2 linked regions of the Lonchura striata genome follow. The protein of the gene in region 1 purifies or fractionates together with the protein of each later gene. This does not show direct contact. Links are inferred from orthologs where the notes say so. Each region holds a gene or a part of one and is shown in the gene's direction. Other genes may lie near its edges.

Region 1 (9,632 bases):
ATATACTGCAGGGAACACAGGATAAGCTACAAGGAGCAATCCTTCTGGCAAAGGAATGGTTTCTTATTTGTATTAGCCTGTAACTGACAGTATAGTTTACTATAATTTAAAAACAGAAAATTGCATGCAATATTGGCCATTATCTCCTGCAGTAATGAGATATCCCCCAAAAGATTCATGTGAGTGTTTATGGTTCATTCTCATTTCATTCAGGAAAGTGCAGTCTGGCATCACTCTTACTGTTATGGATTATGCATTATAGAGGCGTCTCAGTGATACTAATGGATAATGGTGGTTTATGGCTTCTATGAATAGATTATCAGATGGGGTTTTTTCTGCTTGAAATTCTCTTTCCTGCTAAAGCAATAAAAATGTTGAACTGACAGCATCAGTCTAGTCTAGGAAAATGAACTAGTTGACATAATCTATGTTGTTTTCACAGTTCACACTGTGTGCACTTATGAGAAAGAAAGCAAGTGAGAGCTGCTATGAAACAGCTCTCAGAAAAGTCTCAGAATTTTCCTAAGGGAATTTTCTTTCTCCATGCACAGCTAACAAATAGCAATAAAAACTGAGCCCTACAGTTCTTCTATTGTTCAGAGACTTCACTTCAGAGCCACCAGCTACAATATCATTACCATAGTAATAGTAACTTGTTAGTCATTCTTCCAGTCATAGCAATAAGGCAGAGTTCTCAGCTTATGTGCAGTGAGACTTCTAGAGATGGATACCTTTCCAGTACAATGTCTGGAAGTAACACCAGAGTTAAGCAGTGTCCATGGCAACTGAAAGCTCCCCTCTATTTGTTAGGTATAACCAAGCTTCCTAAAGAACAAAGCTCTGAATTTGTGGAGACAAGCATGTGAATAAAAAATAAGTGTCCTTTACTTTCTGTTGAAGAAAAGCATAGATGAAATCCTGGCATGGATCTGAGGCTTGTGTCTAATTTCTTCTGGATGGCAAGTTCACTTCATATTGGCAGTATGTTTTCCTTGAAGATCTTATCCAAAATGAATGCAGTAATTCCCCCAGAAAGTTAATTTTTTTTTTTTTTTTTGCCATCAACAAGACCAGATATAATTTGAATTGTACATTTAATTGCATTAGGGTGCCATGATGTAGGAGGCAGTGTTCCAAACAGGCTTCCTCATGGAAAATAATGTATTTGATCCTGTGGGAATGATGAGACTGATAGGACTCTCAAGCATGCAAGCAAAAGGGGGGAGCTTGGATTGTTAGGGAAGTTTGCAGACACAAATGTAATGTGTCTTCTCCTGCAGCTTTAAAGAGGCTTAGATTTGGATGGCAGAAACATTGCTCTCAAATCCTGACTGTTCTCCCCACATGGACAGTCTCTTGTCTTGACCACTGTTGACATTTTTACTGCCCCAGGGCCCCCACTCACTTTGGTTGGAAGTGCTTGCAGACCTCTAACTTGCTTCTTCAGGTCAGATGAAACATGTTTGAAGAAGATAACTGGTCAAAATTGTTTCCTTAGAAAATATTGATTGTGAATAGTAAAGCAGAGATCTGTCCCAGTGGGTTGTGGAGGGAGCAGAGACAAGCTTGAGACTCCAAGTGCAGCTGTTAATTATTTGTGAAATAGATACTGCTCTTTGGGGCCCCAAATCCAAATGCTCCCCCTCCAAATACTAGCCATGAAAGGTGATAATTTTATTTGTAATTCTGTGCTATTTTCCTCAGAACCCCATTTCTACCCTGGTGTCCTTTGTGGAAGCTCTGGAGGTTGGCAACAAGCACAAAAATCCTTATCACAACCTAATGCACACTGCAGGTGTGACATGGACACTCTGTTATTGTATTTTCTCCTTTTCAAGATGGACATAGCACTAAGTGCAGGAGACAGCTAAAGCCAGACAACACTGATAGGAACAGACTGAAGGCTTAAACAAAAAGAAATAATGAGCATATGGTACATTCCCACAGTGGTTGTCAAGATAGACAACAAATATCTTTGAAGGTGGGCTAGAGAAAATTAAAACAGACAGATTCCAGAATGATGATCAACCACCACAGTTTGGGTTTGGCTGGCAGCTCAGAAAGTTGCTGGTCCACTCAGTAGGAAGAGTAAATGGTAGTGAAGGCTCAAACTGTCCAGGATACACATGTATCTCATTCTGATCCTTTTCTTACTCCTGGTTATTGCCACAGCCAGAAAAGGAAATAAAATGGTCTTTACTCTGATCCTGTGTGACAGATTTTTGGTGCCTGTTATTAGTTTAATCTTCTCCCAGCGTCTAATTTGCCCTTTTCCTGCATCAGCAGAAGCATAGGGTCAAAGATATCAGTGAAAGGGAGGTTCCCCTGTTCAGTGTTTTGTGCTGTTCTCTTGTTACACCTTGGCCATTCACGGGTTGCTCTTTTTGTGGCTGGTACCTTAAAACATGCACTTCAGTTCTTTTGTGCTTCATTTCACTGGTGTCTCTTTGCTAACAAATACACAGAAGCAGCCAAGGTAAACACTTCCAGGTGCAGGGATCTTTGCAGTACAGAGCAGGCAGATGAACCCATATCAGCAGAAGCTGAGGCTGTTGCTGCAGCTCAACCTTCTTGAACATTCAGTAATTTCATTCATGCATAGTCATTCTAAGCTCTGTAGTGAGCAATTGCTGAAGAAGAGGAATGAGATAAACCCATGGTTGAACGTGTTTTGGCCCAACCAAATGCCAACACTGTTTTGTAGATGGCCTATACAAAAGTTGCCAGTCAACATCACTGGTGACCATGTGTGTCAGTAACGCCTTTCTCTGCACAGCTTGCTGAGGAACCTGAAGAAGTGATGCTGCCACGGTGTATACCGTGTAGTAGAGCAGAGGACAGAGAGGTGCAAGCTCACAAGCCAAAGCTCAGCTCCTGCTAGATCTTTCAGGGCAGTTTAAACTACTGTAGAGCTGCTTATGCTCAGGAACAGCCTTTGTGCATATAGCCTGTCTTTCTGTACTCCCTTGATTGCCACATGGATGTTGTTTTCAATTATGACAGACCTGGATGCCCTTCCCTGAGGGCATGCTCCTCCTGTAAACATGTCCTTAGTCTCCTGTCTTGAATGTAGACTCCACCTATGCCTTGTGTTTACTGAAATTGATTTGGAAGGAGTCAGGCTTTGTCAGTCTCAAGAACTGATCTAGACGATTTTAATGGAATATTGTCACTTGTTCCTGATTGCGTCTGAAGTAAATAGAAATTAGGTTGAATTTGCCACCAATACAGCTGCCTACACAAATTAATCCATTAATCCTAAACTGGTCACTGCTGCTTTTAGGGCCATTAGTTAATGAAAATGCACTGCAGGCCATTTCCAGTAAGACAAGTACAATGCTGAGGAATGGAAATTGCAATGGATCCTATTTTTCACTCTCAAACTGTGGAAGAATGGCAGTTTTCCCTTGGGGCTACTCTGTTCTGGAAAGTGCCTGGATGGAGCAGCTGCCCAAGTGCAGCAGCCCTCCTGCCTGTGTGTGTTCCAAACAGCCTCTTCCCAGCTTGCTGCTTCCTGGTCTGTTAGTAATTTAGCTGTGCAATTCCAGTGCTCTGCTTTCACCACTTGTCTAGATATGGAAGGTGATACTGGCTTTTGAAGTGTCCACTGGTGTCATGGGAGAAGGCTATTACATCCCTTCTTCCTCTTTGAAATGGGACAGATTCAATGATCAACATTTCCTCTGTTTGTGGCTCACTAATATTGCATCTCTGCTGTGACAGATCTCGTCGCTTTCTGCAGGCCTTGAGGACAATTAATGGACAAAATCCATAATTTCAGTGTTTACTTACTTTTACTCCTTTTACTTACACTGAAATTCCCCATTACTTTTGTCCTCTCCTTAGGTGCAATCAGGGTTCAACACAGCTGGGCCACCTACAACGGGTTAGACTTTTCCCATACACTCAGCTGATGGATACCAGGTTATTTTTCTACATTTTGTAAACTTTTTGGGTGACCAGGTGAAAGACTCTGGTGACAGTTATCCCACCTGGAGTACTGCATCCAACTCTGCACTCTCCAGCACAGGAAAGACACAAACCTCTTGGAGTGAGTTCAGAGGAGGACCTCCAAGATGGGAGGGGGCACCTCTCCTATGAAAGACTGAGAGAACTGGGGTTACTCAGCCTGGAGAAGGCTTTGGGGTGCCCTAATTGTGGTCTTGCAGTACCTGAAGGAACCCTTCAAGTTCTTGTAGTGACAGGACAAGGGAGAACGAGTTCAATCTGAAAGAGAGTAGGTTTGGATTAGTTATTAAGAAAATATTCTTCACTGTGAGGATGATGAGGCACTGGAACAGGTTGACCAGAGAAGTTGTGGATGTCCCAATCCTGGGAGTGTTCAAAGCTGGATGGGGCTTTGAGTAACCTGGTCTAGTGAAAGGTGTCCCTGCCCATGCCAGGGGGTGGAACTAGATGATCTTTAAGGTTCCTGTCACCCCAATCCGTTCTATGGTTCTGAGTTGTCCTGCTGACATACTAATTGTGAAAAACGCCAATCACTTGGTTTTTAAAATGTTAAAAGTTTAATAATAATAAAATGGTTATTAAAATAGTAATACAATTAGATTAGTAAAATTTAGAGTTAGGACAATTACAACACAATAAAAAGCAAAGAATTACGGATGTCTGGATGCTCTCCAACACTAAGTCACAAAAAGCATGCCTTGTGAACAAAGGAATAACCTTAAAAGCGATAGCCTATTGCATATTCATACATCTCATACATGATGCATAAATTCCTTGCAAATTAAGAACTTTTCTGGTTTTTGTCAATTCTTTCCCCTTAATCCTGGTAAATTATCAGGTAAATTCCAGTAAATTAATCCTGGTAATCAGGTAAATCCTGGTAAATTCCATAAAGACGAAGAAAAGGTTGAAGAATATTTGTCTTTTCTGATAAGGACGTTGTAACTCTTTATGGGCCCCAAGTCACTGTCATCTCTGTGTGAAGTTTCTTGATAATATCATCTCTTGCTTGAGCTAGTAAAAAAATCCTACACCACAGTTTCTATTTCAACATTATGTTGTAACCTAAAACTATATTTAACACACAACTTAAGAGAATTAATACAACATAACTTTCTAACATTACACATATAATATTCATTGTAACATTTGCGAAAAGCCAATCATAAAATATGTATTTTTCACACTAATGCTTCGTAAAAATCCTTGTTTAGTGAAAAAGCCTTTGGGAAAAAAAATCTTAGGTGGTGTAAATAAACGTGGGATATTTCCCATCGCGCCTAACTGCCCTACCTCTTCAGCAGCTCACTGCTACACAGTACAATTTTCCGAATGGCACCTGAGCAGGTAGAAAACACAAAGGTAAAGGCTTTTTAAAAAAAAAAAAAAAAAAAAAAAAAAAAAAAAAAAAAAAAAGGAGAGAGAAAACATCGGCTTGACCTGGTTCCGCGGCGCACGGGTCACGTGGGCGCGCCGCGGCCAATGGCAGCGCGCCGCGGGCGCTCGCGAGGCTTCGGTCTCCAGGGCAACGCCGGGCCCGCAGCCGTCCGAGCGCCGGCGGAGCGGCCGCCATGGTGAGTAGCGGCCGCCGTGGCGAGTAGCGGCCGCGGCCGCCCGGCACTCCCGCTTCCTCCCGGCACTCCCGCTTCCTCCCGGCACCCCGGCACGGAGCCGCTCCGCTGCGGCGGCCGGCCCGCAGCAGGGCCCGGGCTGCGGCCTGCCCTCATGCGCGAGCCGACACCTGCCTTCCTGAGCATCCCTGCCGTCCCCGCGGAGACTCCCAGGGCTTGGGGGTATTGCGGGATGCAGTGGCCAGGTGGCTGAGTGTCAGCGTGGCTGAGTCGCAGATCACAAGTGGCCTGTGCTTATGTGTTCATTTACTAGTGTACTTTCCTTTCTCTCTATAATGAATAGAAGCTTTTCAACTAAAAAAACCCTTCAGCAACAGCAAAAACATTAATTTAGCTTTCTATATGATCTCTCATCTGCAATATGTGGGATTTTGTGGGCGACATCAGTCTTGCAGCCACACTATGAGAGCTGATTTTATTTAGCGCTGGTGCTTCTTCCTCGGCTGCATTTAGTTTCCAGAGTATTGATTGTTCATCCAGGTATCCCAGGATAGCATTGTCACTGGAGCTTCCCTAAGGACAAGGTGATCAGAGGAACTGTTTTGGCTGAGTTACAACACTGCTGTCTCTCCCCAACATCAGCCAAGCTAACAAAGTACATTGGAGTCAATGAATGGACCTGCCTTTCCATCAGCTCTCCAGGGACTGTGGTGATAAACTCCCACTCCCCTGTTGTGCTTCCTTGTCATTCATGCTGCCTGCATGAGCTGTGTAGTTCCGATGTGATTGCCCATGCCAGTAATTCTTTGAAATAAAGGCACGCATAAAAGGGCTACTTAGCCAGGTCTAAAATTACTTCCTTCTTAATTTCCCTTCGGTTGTTTCTGGGTGTCCTGGTTTAGGGATGTTGAGAAATAAATTCAGATTATCACTCAAGATCTTCTTCAAAAACAGCATGGCCAGCAGGTTGAGGTAAATGATTCCCCACTGTTGTTATGAGACCCCATCTGGAGTGTTGCATACAGTTCTGGTGTTTCCAGCACAGTAAGGCCATGGAGGTGTTGGAGCAAGTCCAGAGGAAGGATATGAAGCTGACAAGAGCACTGGAACACTTCCCCTACAAAAATAGACAAGTTGGGGATGTTTAGCCTAGAGAAGAAAAAGTTGTGGAGAGACCTCATAACAACCTTCCAGAGAGGGACTCTTCATCAGGAACTGCAGCTATAGTTCAGGGCACTAATTGAAAGAGAGTAGATTTAGATTAGATAGACAGAAAAAAATGTTTATTGTGAGGGTGGTGAGGCAACAGGTTGCCCAGGGAAATTATGGATGCTCCATCCCTGGCAGTGTTCAAAGCCAGGTTGGATGGAACTCTGAGTAACCTGGTCTAGTGGGAGGTGTGCCTGCCTGTGGCAGGGAGTTGAAACTAGATAGTCTTTAAGGTCCCTTCCAACACAAACATTCTGTGATTCTGTGAGAAGTCTCAGGAGTTCACATAAAAAGTAACAAACATAGCATACTTTCCTCTGGGTTTTTTGTTAGTACATCTATAGAAGATATATCATTCAGCTACATTATGCATGTGTAATGTAATACCAAGATATATTTATCCAAGAGCTTTGTCTCAGTCCTTCTGCTTCTGATCCTCTGTTTACCTCTGTCTCTGATTTTGTATGACTTTTTTTACGTTACTTGAATCCTTGCTTCCAAGTATTGGAACTTTCTCACCCACTTATGAGAGGTGCACAGGGACTCGATATATGAAAATATGTTTGTTTTTCAACATGCTAGTTAGAACCCTGTGAAAGCAATCACAGAAACTAGTCAGAAGGCAAGTATTCACAGTAGTTATGCTCATTTTTCCTTATGTTTGTCTTTGTGCTTGTATCCTCCTCCACAGGCAGAGCTGGGTGTTAATGAGCACCACCAGAACGAAGTGGTCAGCTACATGCGCTTCGCTCGTTTCAAGCGGGGCATGTGTCTCAAAACAGTGGATTCTTGTTTCCAGGACCTCAAGGACAGCAGGTGCTGTGTGGGGTGGTGCTGAGCAAGAATAAAGCAAAATATGCTAGCAGCAGTGGCAGGTTTGAATACTTTATGGGGCAATTTTTCTCCATTTAGGTTTGTATGTTCTTGTATTTTCCAGAAGTTACAAGTCAAATGCTTTTAAACCCAAGTTTGTCAAATTCTTAGGAATTAACAGAGATATTGACAGCATGACATTGCTGCACGTCTTGCTTCTGATATGTAAATTTGATACAAGGCAGTAGCTGAATTAGTATTTGTGACTTTAATGATTTAAAGAGAAAATTCAAATACAGTAACCAATTAGTAATGTTGTGGTAATCTAACAACGACTGCCAGTGGATGTTTTTATAAAACATTGCATTATACGAGTGGTGCCTGTGTAGTGAGATCTCATAAGGCACAATTGTTACCTTTATCATACTTGACTCATCTTGACCTCTCTGCTTAGACTCGTTGAAGAGACCTTCACAGTTGACGAGGTGACAGACATGCTGGATGGACTGCAGAGTGTTGTACACAGCGAAGTGGAGTCAGAGCTCATAAACACAACTTACACCAACGTTCTACTTCTGCGGCAGCTCTTCTCACAGGCTGAGAAATGGTACCTGAAGTTACAGACTGATGTCTCTGACTTGGAAAATCGGTAACAGCTGTTGGACTATACTTGCAACAATAAGAATACTTCAAAGTGTTGACTATTTGCATTCTTTTCCTAAGCACAGAAACCTATTATTTTACTATTATATCAATGATAGGTTAGCTTCAATGTTTCCATCTGTAAAATAGCAAGATACAAAATAATTTCAAAATTGTGAGCAAGATGTTTTGTTAGTAATATTCTTACTTGAATTAATCATTTAAGAGCAGGTCACTGGACTCAATTAAAAAGCTTTTGTTATCTGGTTAGATTATATTTTAATTAAGGATGCTAAATCTATTGCACTGCATGTATCATGCCATTATGTGACATGATCTGTTGCATTTATATTTCTGTAAGACTTAATTCTGTACTTCTAACAAGAATTTTACATGCAAGAAAAAGCATAGCACCAGCTTGGTAAAATATGTTTCATAGTGTAGCTCTTAGTAAAGAAATGCCTCCTTAAATTTTTCTTTGGTAAATAAATGCCTCTTTATTTTTTTTTTCCCAAGAGAATTATTGGACCAGGTTGCTGAGTTTGAAAAGTCAGAATATACATCTTCAAACAAAAAGGTAGAATTTCATTTTAATCAAATCATAATTAAATGTCCTGTGGAATCATGACAGATGTTTAAAATATTTATTATTGACTCTTTCTGCTTAGGAGAAAACCAAAACCCCACTTTTTTTTTTATAAAACAATCTTTGAAACTCTCCAAAAAGTCATTTTGCATTTTGGCACCAAGGCTCCCTCTGAAGTGCCTTGGCTGTTTCCAAAGAATCTGTTCTGCCCTTCTGAGGTGTGCCTCACACACCTCATCCCAAGGTTAGCCACACCAGGAATATGTGGCAGTGTCTGCTTCTGGGTTCCTTCCTCTGGCACCAGGGCTGAGACTGGGACATTCGCTTGTCCCAGCATGGACCCAAGAGCTGAGAAGATTGCACAGTACAGATATCACTCTAGTTTGTCTTGCTTGAATATAGTTGCAAACCTTATTTGGTTTGTAGCATAAAGGTGTATTTATGTATATTATATTGTGTATATATATATATATGCTAATTTTAGTATCTTAAATGAGAAAATTATTTGGAGCTTTGAAAATACTTTTTACTCTTGCGATCACTCAAATATTATGTTCTTCTTACTCCTTTTTTCTTTTGATTGCTGCAGGATGTCAATCTTCTCTAGAGCCACATTTGCAGTACTTCTTTGTCTCTATGTAGTATTTTTGTTTAACTTAAGCTCAAAGTGAAGTCCATAACTTAGGAGCCAAGAAAAAGAACTTGAAATAAAAGGTTGTTCATTTGCTTTGCAAAGAAAAGCTGAATTGACCATCAGTAGTTATTTTACAGACTAAAGGAGTACTTTTCTTCCCCCTAGAAATATGTGTAATTAAATTTTTTTACCTTTATTATTTCTTTAG
Region 2 (9,996 bases), on another chromosome or scaffold:
TAAATCTCAGGTTACTGAAATGAAAAATGTATTTATAGTGAAATGTATTTATAGTGAAAAATGTGAAGTGTATTTATAGTGCCAGCTTTCCAAACCATGAGTCCGAAGAGTACTACATTCACACAGATGCAGGCACACACCCACACAAACAGGAAGAACAATTATCTGAGACATAGTACACAAATGGATATGTCATTCCCAGTGTTTTCAATGAGTTCTGGAAAGTGTTAGGGAATTGAGCAGGAGAAAACTAGTTACAATCCAGCCTTGGAATACTTCAGTAAGAGTGTATTAGGACAAAATAGGTTTGTCAGTATTGAACACAATTTCTTCAGCACTACAAAGTTTGCATTTTTCATACTCCATTATAGATCAGAGTTGATTGTCCTGGTTATGCAAAAAGCTGTGAGCACAACCATTTTAAGCCATTTTTTGCCTTGAGTCTAATACTTCAACACTTGTGCAAGTACCAAGCCCATGTGACTGCTTTAATAAGAAAAACAAGACTTGAAAATCCCTGAAAGTTCCGCTTTAAATAGCAGGGAGTTTATATGTTGGCTTTCACTTGATGCAAAAATTATGCTTGTTTTTTCATGTGCTTGAACTAAGTATTCTCAATGAAATGTTGCCATAAGAGACAACTGAAATTTGTTTAAAATAGACTAAGTAAAGTGGCTGCATTTTTGCAGAACTGCTGGAAGTCTTACTAGCAAGAAAATAATATTTTATCTAAAACCAGAAAGATATTTCAAAGCAGTTTCATTTGAAAGAAGCTTTGCATTTCATAAAAACCAAGAGCATCATCTGTTTTATTTTGTAACACAGGATGACAGTGATGTAGAGTGGAAGTTTGCTCGTTCTAAACTTTGGCTGTCCTATTTTGATGATGGAAAAACGTTACCTCCACCCTTCAGTCTTGTACCAAGCCCCAAGTCTTTTTTCTATTTCATCATGAGGATCATTAACTTTTCTAAGTGCAGGAGGAGACGGCTACAGAAGGACATTGAAATGGGAATGGGCAACTCCAAATCGAGGGTAGGTTCTGAGATCTTTTCATTGCAGTGAAGAATTCTGTGTCTATTCCAGCAATCTTCTTTTCTTTTTAGCTTTAACTTATAATCCATGCTTCTGATGATAATAGAGTAACTAATAATTTATAGCACTAAATCTCTATTTCAGACTACCTAAACATACTGCATAAAACAAGAAATAGACTTAAATTTTGTTAGAACAACCAAATCTGGGAAAACAGAATTAAACCAAAAATTGATGACTGCTCAAAGATGCAAATAATTCCTGCAAGGAGTTACTTGAATATTGATTAAGGATACTTTGAGTCTATTTTCTCAGAACAGGATGGCTAAAATTATCAGCATTAAAAAAAAAACAAATCCAAAACCAACATATAATTCAAGGCAATCTCATTAAAAAAAAAATACTCTGATATAGTAAAAGATGGAAAGATCCCAAACATTTCTAAAGGAAAATAATAATGGAGCTGAATCCTAACTGTGAATTCCATAATTTATTTTAATTTTGTCTTATTTCTTCCTAGTTAAACCTTTTCACTCAGTCGAATTCCAGAGTTTTTGAATCCCACAGTTTTAACAGCATTCTCAATCAGCCAACACGCTATCAGGTAAGTATATACAGTGATCACTGTCCTGTGTAATAGAACAGTGAGAATGTTCTAGCAGAATTTTGTGTTTCAAGTACATTTTGCCTTCACCAGATAAAGAAAACCTCCTGTAGAAATCAAACTCTTAAGTGCTCCTTGAAAGAAAAGACAGTTATTGTATAAGCCCTTCATATAGTTATTTGAAGCATTTCAAAACGAGCTCATGCAGTACTTAGAATTGGTCTTTGATGTCTCAGTTGGGAAAGTGTGAGGAGCAAACATCTGAAATTGGTGAAGGAGTATCTGAAGTGGGTTTCTGGGCAAGGGATATAAAAGCTGACTAGGTTGGCTGTTCCCTTCCTTTCTCAGCATGCCCCCAGAAAAGCCCATTTGAGGCAAGTACTTCATTCAGAGCTGTTCATTCTTTCTCTTAGGCAGATGTGACAGAGAGAGCTAAGAAAGAAAAATGAACAATGTTTAATTATATTATCTCACCTGATTATATAACTGTTTTAATCTGGCAGCAAATAATGAAGAGACTGATAAAACGTTATGTTCTGAAAGCACAAGTGGACAAAGAAAATGATGAAGTCAATGAAGGTAAGAAAAAGACTGCAATATTCAGAGGCAATTTTTTTTCATGTTGTATTAGGAACCAGTATTACATGATGCATGGGGGTTTTGAGTGAAAAGAGGGATTGTTTCTATTTCACATGCACTGAGGCTCAGATAGTAATGGAAGTATGCCCATGTCATCAAAAAAATGGAAAAGCATGACTAAAGAAGTAGGACTGAGAAATGTTATGGGCCCCATTCTACAGATAGAAAATAAGAGCACAAACATAATGCACAGAGGAAATCTGTGAAGGAGCTATTAACTGTATTCACACTTCCAGAGTGCTAATCAAATCTGCAGGATCTTCCTCTCTGTTTCATTGAACTGAACACACAATTATACACAATTTACCACTTTACACCACGAATTACTGGTCCTGCCTTCCTTCATAAAGCTTCAAGGAATAATCACCTGTGAAGCTGCCCATCATTAAACAAAGCCCCACAGCTGCATGGTGATAAAAAATGTCAAATGTAACCTCTATTTTAGTGGGAGACCTTTTGAGAAACAGTGGATCTGAGCTCCCTGTGAGAGGTACTTGCTCCAGGTGCATGCCCTCACTCACCACTGGGATGAGATTATGGCAAAGGTGGTCCTCCCTCCTTCCAATCTTCCAGGAATGAAACACAAGCCTGCAGTCCAACAAGGAAACTCCTATGCTCTGGGCAGATCCCCAGACAAAAACTCTAGCTAGAATGTTATCAAGCAACAGAGTGATGCAGTGATGGACAGCCTGGGGTCAGAAGATGTTTTACTGGCATGGCAGCATCAGGCAGCTGTGTGCATATAAGGGGCCTAAAAGTGCTGCTCATCTCTCGGCTAAGGCAGCAAAGCTTCTGTTTTGCTCCTTAGTTGCTCTCTGCTTACCTGTAACTCTCTGCAGGGAGAAGCAGGGAACAAAAAAGATTAAATTAAATCCCCCTCAGTGCCTTCAAAAGGCAGCATTGTGCACTGACTGTTACCCTGACATTTCCCCATCCTGTGTGACTATCCAGAGCTGTGATTGTCACTGACAAAAGCAGAAAGGCTCCTAAAAGTGAATCCTCTCAGTGTGCTGCTCTCCTGAATTCCCACTGCTTTCCTCCTGTTCCTGCTCTGTGATGTATGAAATCATCTACCTAGTGACTGATGAAAAGACTGTTCTGCCACCAGCAGTGCCAGCCCTTTCCAGGTCCCTGATGCCACTTTGGTGTTGGCAGAGATGTTTAAATTAGAAAGACAGTGCAGAAGAATCAGGATTTGCTGACATCATGCTTCTGGCTTTGGCACCAAGTTTTATAGAAGAAAGTCCACTTTGATCAGGGCAAGTAACCATTGAGTTTCACTCTTCAGCTGCACAGCCAAGTACTCTGTGTCCTGAGCATCTCATTGGTACCCAAAGCACAGACCCAGCCTCCGAAGACACAGTTCTTGAAATCTGCTATACCCCAAACAGGAAACGTTGGCATGTCTATGTACTACAACTGCTTTAACAAAAGTCTAGAGGTTTTCCCTGTTCTGCATCATTAGGGAATTTAGGTGTCTCTTCATACTCTTCTACTGTATACATGACAAATCATTTCCTGAGGCAGATGCTGTGTAAGAATTCACATCCCTCACACTTGCTGGAAGACCAATATCTGAACATTTTTTAAAGCTTTTGCTCTTGAACTGAATATCCTACAAGGTAAACCATGCTGCTGCTTATTACAAGTCTGGCTTTGACAGCTTTGTTTATATGTGTTTTTTGTATTTGTGTCAAATTATAACATCATGTTAAATTGGTTGACTTTTTCTAATTCCAAGGATGTTGGTAAGGAAGAGGAGAGAGACTCAGAAGCTGTGAGTTTTACTGCCAGCTCTGCCACACCTTTCCTTTGTGATTTTGGCACATCCCTTCAGAAAAAAACCTCTTTTCCTTTTCTCTCTAAAAAGGGGGTACTAATATTTACCAGCTGTTCAGCAGTGTTGGTGTGATTAATTCATTAACCTTTGTACAGCCCTTGGGAATCTTTGGTGTTGTGTATACACGTGGAGCACAATTCGAGTCCCCAATGGACTATTAAAATTCCTTCGGTGCTATTTAGGGCTGGAGACACATCTCACTGAGAATGAAGATGAGGTATATCCTCCTGACCCATCCTGTACCTGCTCTCATGAACATTTTGGGATGATGATCTGAGATAGGCACTGATGTGACTTAACAGAGGAGTATCCAGTGAATGTTAAACTTTGCTAACAAGTGTTTGTTTCCATTATTAATGCAGGTGAATTAAAGGAAATCAAACAGGACATCTCCAGTCTTCGCTATGAACTGTTGGAGGATAAGTCCCAAGCAACAGAAGAGTTGGCAATTTTAATACATAAACTCAGTGAGAAACTAAATCCTAATATGCTGAGATGTGAATGATTCCACAAAGGAAACGTGGCTTCGACTACAGCACAACTATTTATTGGCAATAATATTTCAGTATCTCATACTTGAAAAAAATGTATTGTAGATTTTTAGCACTAAATAACTTTATGTACAGCTTCTCTGGAATTTAGTCTTAGGAACTTTTATTAACTCACCACAAAAAGATTGCTCTCTTCATTTTAATTGTCTAAAAGCAAGAACTACCATAATTTTTTTTTCATTTATGCATTAAAAAGGTATAATGGTATCGATCGCTGATATTTTAACAGGTTTATGGTTACATATGGAGAATTCTTTGCACTAAATTTGCAAGACAAAAAATTAACAGATACAGCGTAATACTCTGTTCCTTGCAGTGTCCAGGTACAAAATAGGATTTTTCATACTACAATAAACCAACTAGACATGAGTGGAGGATTACTTGAAATCTTTGTTCTTTATTAGTAGTATTAGTAACGCGTGTAAGCCCAAAACTCATGGTTATGACCACAAGGAAATGCTGAGAACCAGGTAAGTTGGAATGTAATGTAATGGCAGCAGCGCTATTTAACATGTCTCTGTATACACGTACCCGCACCGAGTAAGGCTTTTTTTTTTAACTCAGACACCGCGCAGGGCAGATATTTTCGGCTTCGTTGTTAAATAAACCACACCTCCCGCCCGGTTCGGCACCGAGCCCGGCATCCCCCTCCGCCCCGTTCCTGCGGGAGCCTCTCCGCGGCGCCCCCGGCTCTGCCCGCCCCTTGCCCCGCCCCGGGGCATTCCAGCCAATCGCAGCGCCCGTCTGGCCGAGGCCCCGCCCCCTCCCGCCCGCCCAGCCAATGGGAGGCGGCCGCCGCGCGGAGGTTGCCGCGGTGACGGGCGGCGGGCGCGCCGTGCCCGCGGGAGGGCCGCGCGTCCCGCGGGAGCGATGGAGCCCAGCCTGGCACGCGTGGATTACCTGCAGGTGGGCACGGCAGCGCTCCGGCAGCCCCCGGCAGCGGGACCAGGCGGCACGGCCCGCCGGGGCAAGGGGCGGCCGTGCGGCGGGGCCTGCGAGCGGCCCGGGGCGCGTCCCGGCGCTGCGGGCCCCGCTCTGGAGCGTCTCTTCCATCCACAGGTGGGAGTCACGGCGCAGAAGACGATGAGGCTGCTGCCCGCCTCCGGGAAGAAGTCCACGCAGAAGGTACCGACCGCCTGGTGCTTCGCTCCTGTCCTGTGCCTCATCCCATCGTTAATCATCCCCAGAGTTTCCTTAGATATAGGACGTCATAGGGAAAGACTGCAAGCCCATTTTGGGGGTTTGGAAAACCTTTTTTGTGGGGAAAAAAAATAGAAAAAAAACCCCTAATTTGTGATTGGAAAACTTCAGAACCGGGAAGGAATTTTTGTAGTTTACAGCGTTGCTGAAACCACAAAGGAGTTCCTCCATATTTCTCTATTCCACTTAAGCCTAGAGGAAATGGCCTGAAGCTGAGACAAGGGAGATTCAGGTTAGATATTTAAAAAATATTTTACTGTTAAGATGGTCAAGCATTGGACTAGGCTGCCCAGGGAGCAGGTGGAGTCACCGTCCCTGGAGGTGTTTAAGAGGTGTCTGGATCTGGCACTGGGTGGGTGCCATGGTTTAGAGGTTATAGTAATAATGACAACTTGATGGTTGAACTTGATGATCTTAAATGTCTTTTCCAACCTTGAGGATTCTATGAAATTTTTTTTTTTTAAGTTCTCCTTAATATAAGTTCAAATTAAGGAAACCTTGTTAGGGAAACTCAATAGAAGTAGCTGATTTTTTTTCAGTAATAAAGTCTTAGTGTGAAAACACAACTTTTCCCAAATACATCTTCACCTCATGGTTGCTGACATTTAAAAGTAGAAACAGGAAAAGGATTGCAAATGCCTGTACTTGAACTGCTGTTCAATATCCTATCTATAGCATTTTATATAGATCTTAGTATACTTCCGTATGTAATTAAGTACTCTAGAACTTTGAGTCCTTAAATAAATGAAAATATCATTAACATTATAATAGAGGACTATTTACGATAGCATGTAGTGACAGGACAAGGGGAAATGGTTTCAAACTCATAAGAGAATAGGTATAGATTAAATAGAAGGAAAAAATTCTTTCCTCTGAGGGTTACCCAGAGAAGCTGTGGCTGCTCTATCCCTGGAAGAGTTCAAAGTCAGGTTGGATGGAACATGAGCAACCTGGGATAGTGGCAGGTGTCCCTGTCCCTGGCAAGGGATTGGAGCTGGGTGATTTTTAAGGTCCCTTCCAACCCAAACCATTCTGTGATTCTGTGAATACAGGAAGAGTATTATTTAAAACCACAGTTGTGTGTGTAATAAAAAATAACAATGTATTACACTTTTGAAGGTGGTTGTTGGAGATCAGGATGGGGTCGTTACGTGCTTTGGCATAAAAAAGGGGGAAGCTGTGGTAAGTGGAAATGTTCCATTTAAATTTTTATTTTTGGAATATTCTTTCCAGTGAACTTTGAAAGTTCATTTTTTATTGATGTGGCAAATAAGATGCCAGTGGAAGGGGTCTAGGTAGAGCTGTGGCCTGATGCCTAACTGTGGTGAGGGCATGCTGATCTCATGCCTGATCAAGCACAGGATTCTCCACAGTTACAGTCAAAAACTAATGTGGAAAAAAAACTTAACTTCTATTAAGTTTGGCTTAAGCCTGAGTACATACACAGTTATTGTAACAAGACAAAAACCTGCAGAGATTTATTAAATCACCTTAAGGATTTGAACAAACTGATTGCTTTTTATGCCCAATGCAATAAAACTTTTTTTTTCCATGGGTTTTCTTCTCCAGGAAGTCCATGGTCAGCTCATAAGTATTCTATAGCAATACAAATAAATCAATGTAGACTTCTGGAATAAGAACGTAACATGTGAGAGGGAGGGAGTGTGTGTGTGTTGTTCTTTAAAATAAAAAAACAAACCACAAACAAAACAGCTGACAGCAGTGCTGAATTTTTCCCATAGATGAATTAATAACAATGAAGTAATGAAATCTTAATTTATTGTGTTTTAAAGCTTTTTGTATGTATTTACTGATAAAATGCTTGATTGCTCTGTGATTCTGAAGATAAATATGCAGATTATTTTTGTCTGTGTACAATCCATTGCATCTTAGTTTTGCCAGAAATTGTAAATTTCCTATCCTTTATGTTAAAAGATTACTGTAAATATGATATTGTGATGATGAAAATTGATTTTCTGTTGACAGCCAGTGTTCAAGACGCTACCAGGACAAAAGATCTCCAGACTGGAGCTGGGAGGAGCTCTTAATACACCACAGGAGAAAATTTTTGTGGCTATAGGATCCGAAGTCAGAGGTTTCACAAAAAGAGGGAAGCAGTTTCTTTCCTTTGAAACTAACCTTACTGAAAGCATCAAAGCTATGTATGTATGATATTTTGCATTTTTTGGCAGTTATAGCAGATTGTTTGTTTATGATTTTATGCATTAATGTTAAGCATATTGTGTAGGTGACACTAAGTGCTAGTCCAGCTTCAGCTTGTGCTGTAACCTGTTGGAGGAATTTGGAATATCACAGAGAAGTCTTGGAAGTGTGGGGGGAATTGGGAGTGGTCTGGACTCATTGCACTCACAGCAGTGCAAAATCTGAGTGAGCAGAGCTGGGGTTATTGATACAGTGCATCCTGTCCACACAGCTCCTGGAGCAAAATCTCTTTTGGATTGCAGTGTAAGATGCTGCCATTGACAAATCAGCATAAAAATTATAGTAATGAAATTTCTATAAAGATATTCTTAAGGATGTACCTGAAGACAAAGTAGAAATGTGAGAGCTGTAGAAACCACATGGTTTTAATATTTGTAAGGAACTCTAAAAGCTGGAACAGCTTGCAGGGCCCCATATTACCTTGGAGCTGTAAGCATAGTAAGGCATAAAAGCATAAAGGACTCCTACTGCAGCAAGAGGCTACAGGAAGTGTTTTCTTCTCCTCAGGTACATTTCAGGAGCAGATCTCTTTCTCTGTGCAAGCTACATCTATAACCATTACTGTGACTGCAAGGACCAGCACTACTTCCTGTCAGGAGATAAAATCAATGATGTTCTCTGCCTTCCTGTAGACAAAGTGAACTGCATCACACCAGTGCTTGCATGTCAGGACAGAGTGCTCAGGGTGTTACAGGTTAAAATGCCCCCTTCTTTATGTTTTATGTATGGTTCTGTGGAATTGGACTAATTAATAAGGGAATACATATCAGCATGGCTTAAACAGGATCAGGATCAGTACACTGTGCCTTACTTGGTAATGCTGCTGCTGGTGCATTCCCTTGCTGCTGTTTTTCGAAAGGAGAATCATCATAAACTTGTAAAAAATGAGGATTAATGAAACCACTATAGACAGGCTTTGGAATTCATAGGTGGAAGTTGATGACAAATTGGTCCCTTCTAACTAAAAGTGCTCATTTAATTTCCTGAAGGCTTTATCACTTTGGGAATTCTTGCTCTCATAAATTACTGTTGCGACAAGTCTTGAGTGATACTAAGGGGTTTAACATATTAAATTGCCAGCTGAGTTCCTGGATCATTTAAAATTATAATAACACGTTTCAGGAGTCCTGTGTTTTATTTGTACAAACTTCACCCTGTTTTTGGCTTAGACATGGTTTTCCCATAGGAGTTTGAATAAGTAAATCTTACATTTTATTATGATCCATAATAATTTTGTCATTGTGGGACTTTGGTTTGGTATGTGGCTGGTGTTTTGGAGGTTTTTGTTGTTGTTTTGGTTGTGAGTGTTGTTTTTTTTAACAAATTCATTTGAGATTGTTCTCTTTGTCTTCAGGGATCTGATTTGCTGTATGAAGTAGAACTTCCTGGACCACCTACTGTTCTTGCTCTGAGCAATGGAAATGGGGGTAACAAGACTTAGAATATACACAAAATTAATAATGCTATTTTACTATGTTTTCAAGATTTTGTAGCTTGTCTTTGTTAATTATTTTGTCCTGATTTTTAAGCCGATTTTAAAAATGCAGCAGAAAAGTGACTATGCAAGGTAATTCTTTACGTATAAGTAAAAAAGACATGACTGTTTTAGACAGTTCTAAATTATATTAACATTCAGTTGAAGACATCTTACAGCACTAGTGAGATCTGAGGGGTCTCATTGTGTAAAAACAAACTGGACTTTTGGGGGCCATGCCCAGGTTTTGGGTTTGTATTTCCCTTACACGTGGATTTCCATAACTGAATACATGGATGGACAAGAATATTGAGTAGAGTTAACATAAACTGAGATGGGAAGGTTCAAACTTAAAATAGTTTTGATCATCCTTCTTGCTAATCTGCTCTAACCTCATTGAAATCGCTTTAGGGTGTTAATCTGGTGCTTA

Evidence for each region.
Region 2: the proteins of LZTFL1 (region 1) and BBS7 purify together in Homo sapiens (affinity purification with mass spectrometry; 3 studies listed by BioGRID and IntAct, counting the BioPlex papers as one, with this or other methods). This does not show direct contact. The link is inferred for Lonchura striata from reciprocal best matches to the Homo sapiens genes LZTFL1 and BBS7.

The regions. Positions count from the first base shown.
Region 1 is NC_134603.1:111,322,590-111,332,221, forward strand, and holds the start of LZTFL1 (leucine zipper transcription factor-like protein 1), read left to right. Parts: upstream 1-5,459; 5' UTR 5,460-5,540; coding exon 5,541-5,543; intron 5,544-7,440; coding exon 7,441-7,565; intron 7,566-8,016; coding exon 8,017-8,211; intron 8,212-8,720; coding exon 8,721-8,781; intron 8,782-9,632. UniProt on the Homo sapiens protein: Regulates ciliary localization of the BBSome complex. Together with the BBSome complex, controls SMO ciliary trafficking and contributes to the sonic hedgehog (SHH) pathway regulation. May play a role in neurite outgrowth. May have tumor suppressor function.
Region 2 is NC_134606.1:69,507,491-69,517,486, forward strand, and holds the start of BBS7 (BBSome complex member BBS7), read left to right. Parts: upstream 1-5,464; 5' UTR 5,465-5,539; coding exon 5,540-5,575; intron 5,576-5,728; coding exon 5,729-5,794; intron 5,795-6,988; coding exon 6,989-7,051; intron 7,052-7,855; coding exon 7,856-8,031; intron 8,032-8,599; coding exon 8,600-8,786; intron 8,787-9,446; coding exon 9,447-9,519; intron 9,520-9,996. Other genes in the region: TRPC3 (short transient receptor potential channel 3), read left to right, coding at 826-1,035, 1,556-1,639, 2,143-2,218, 4,481-4,623.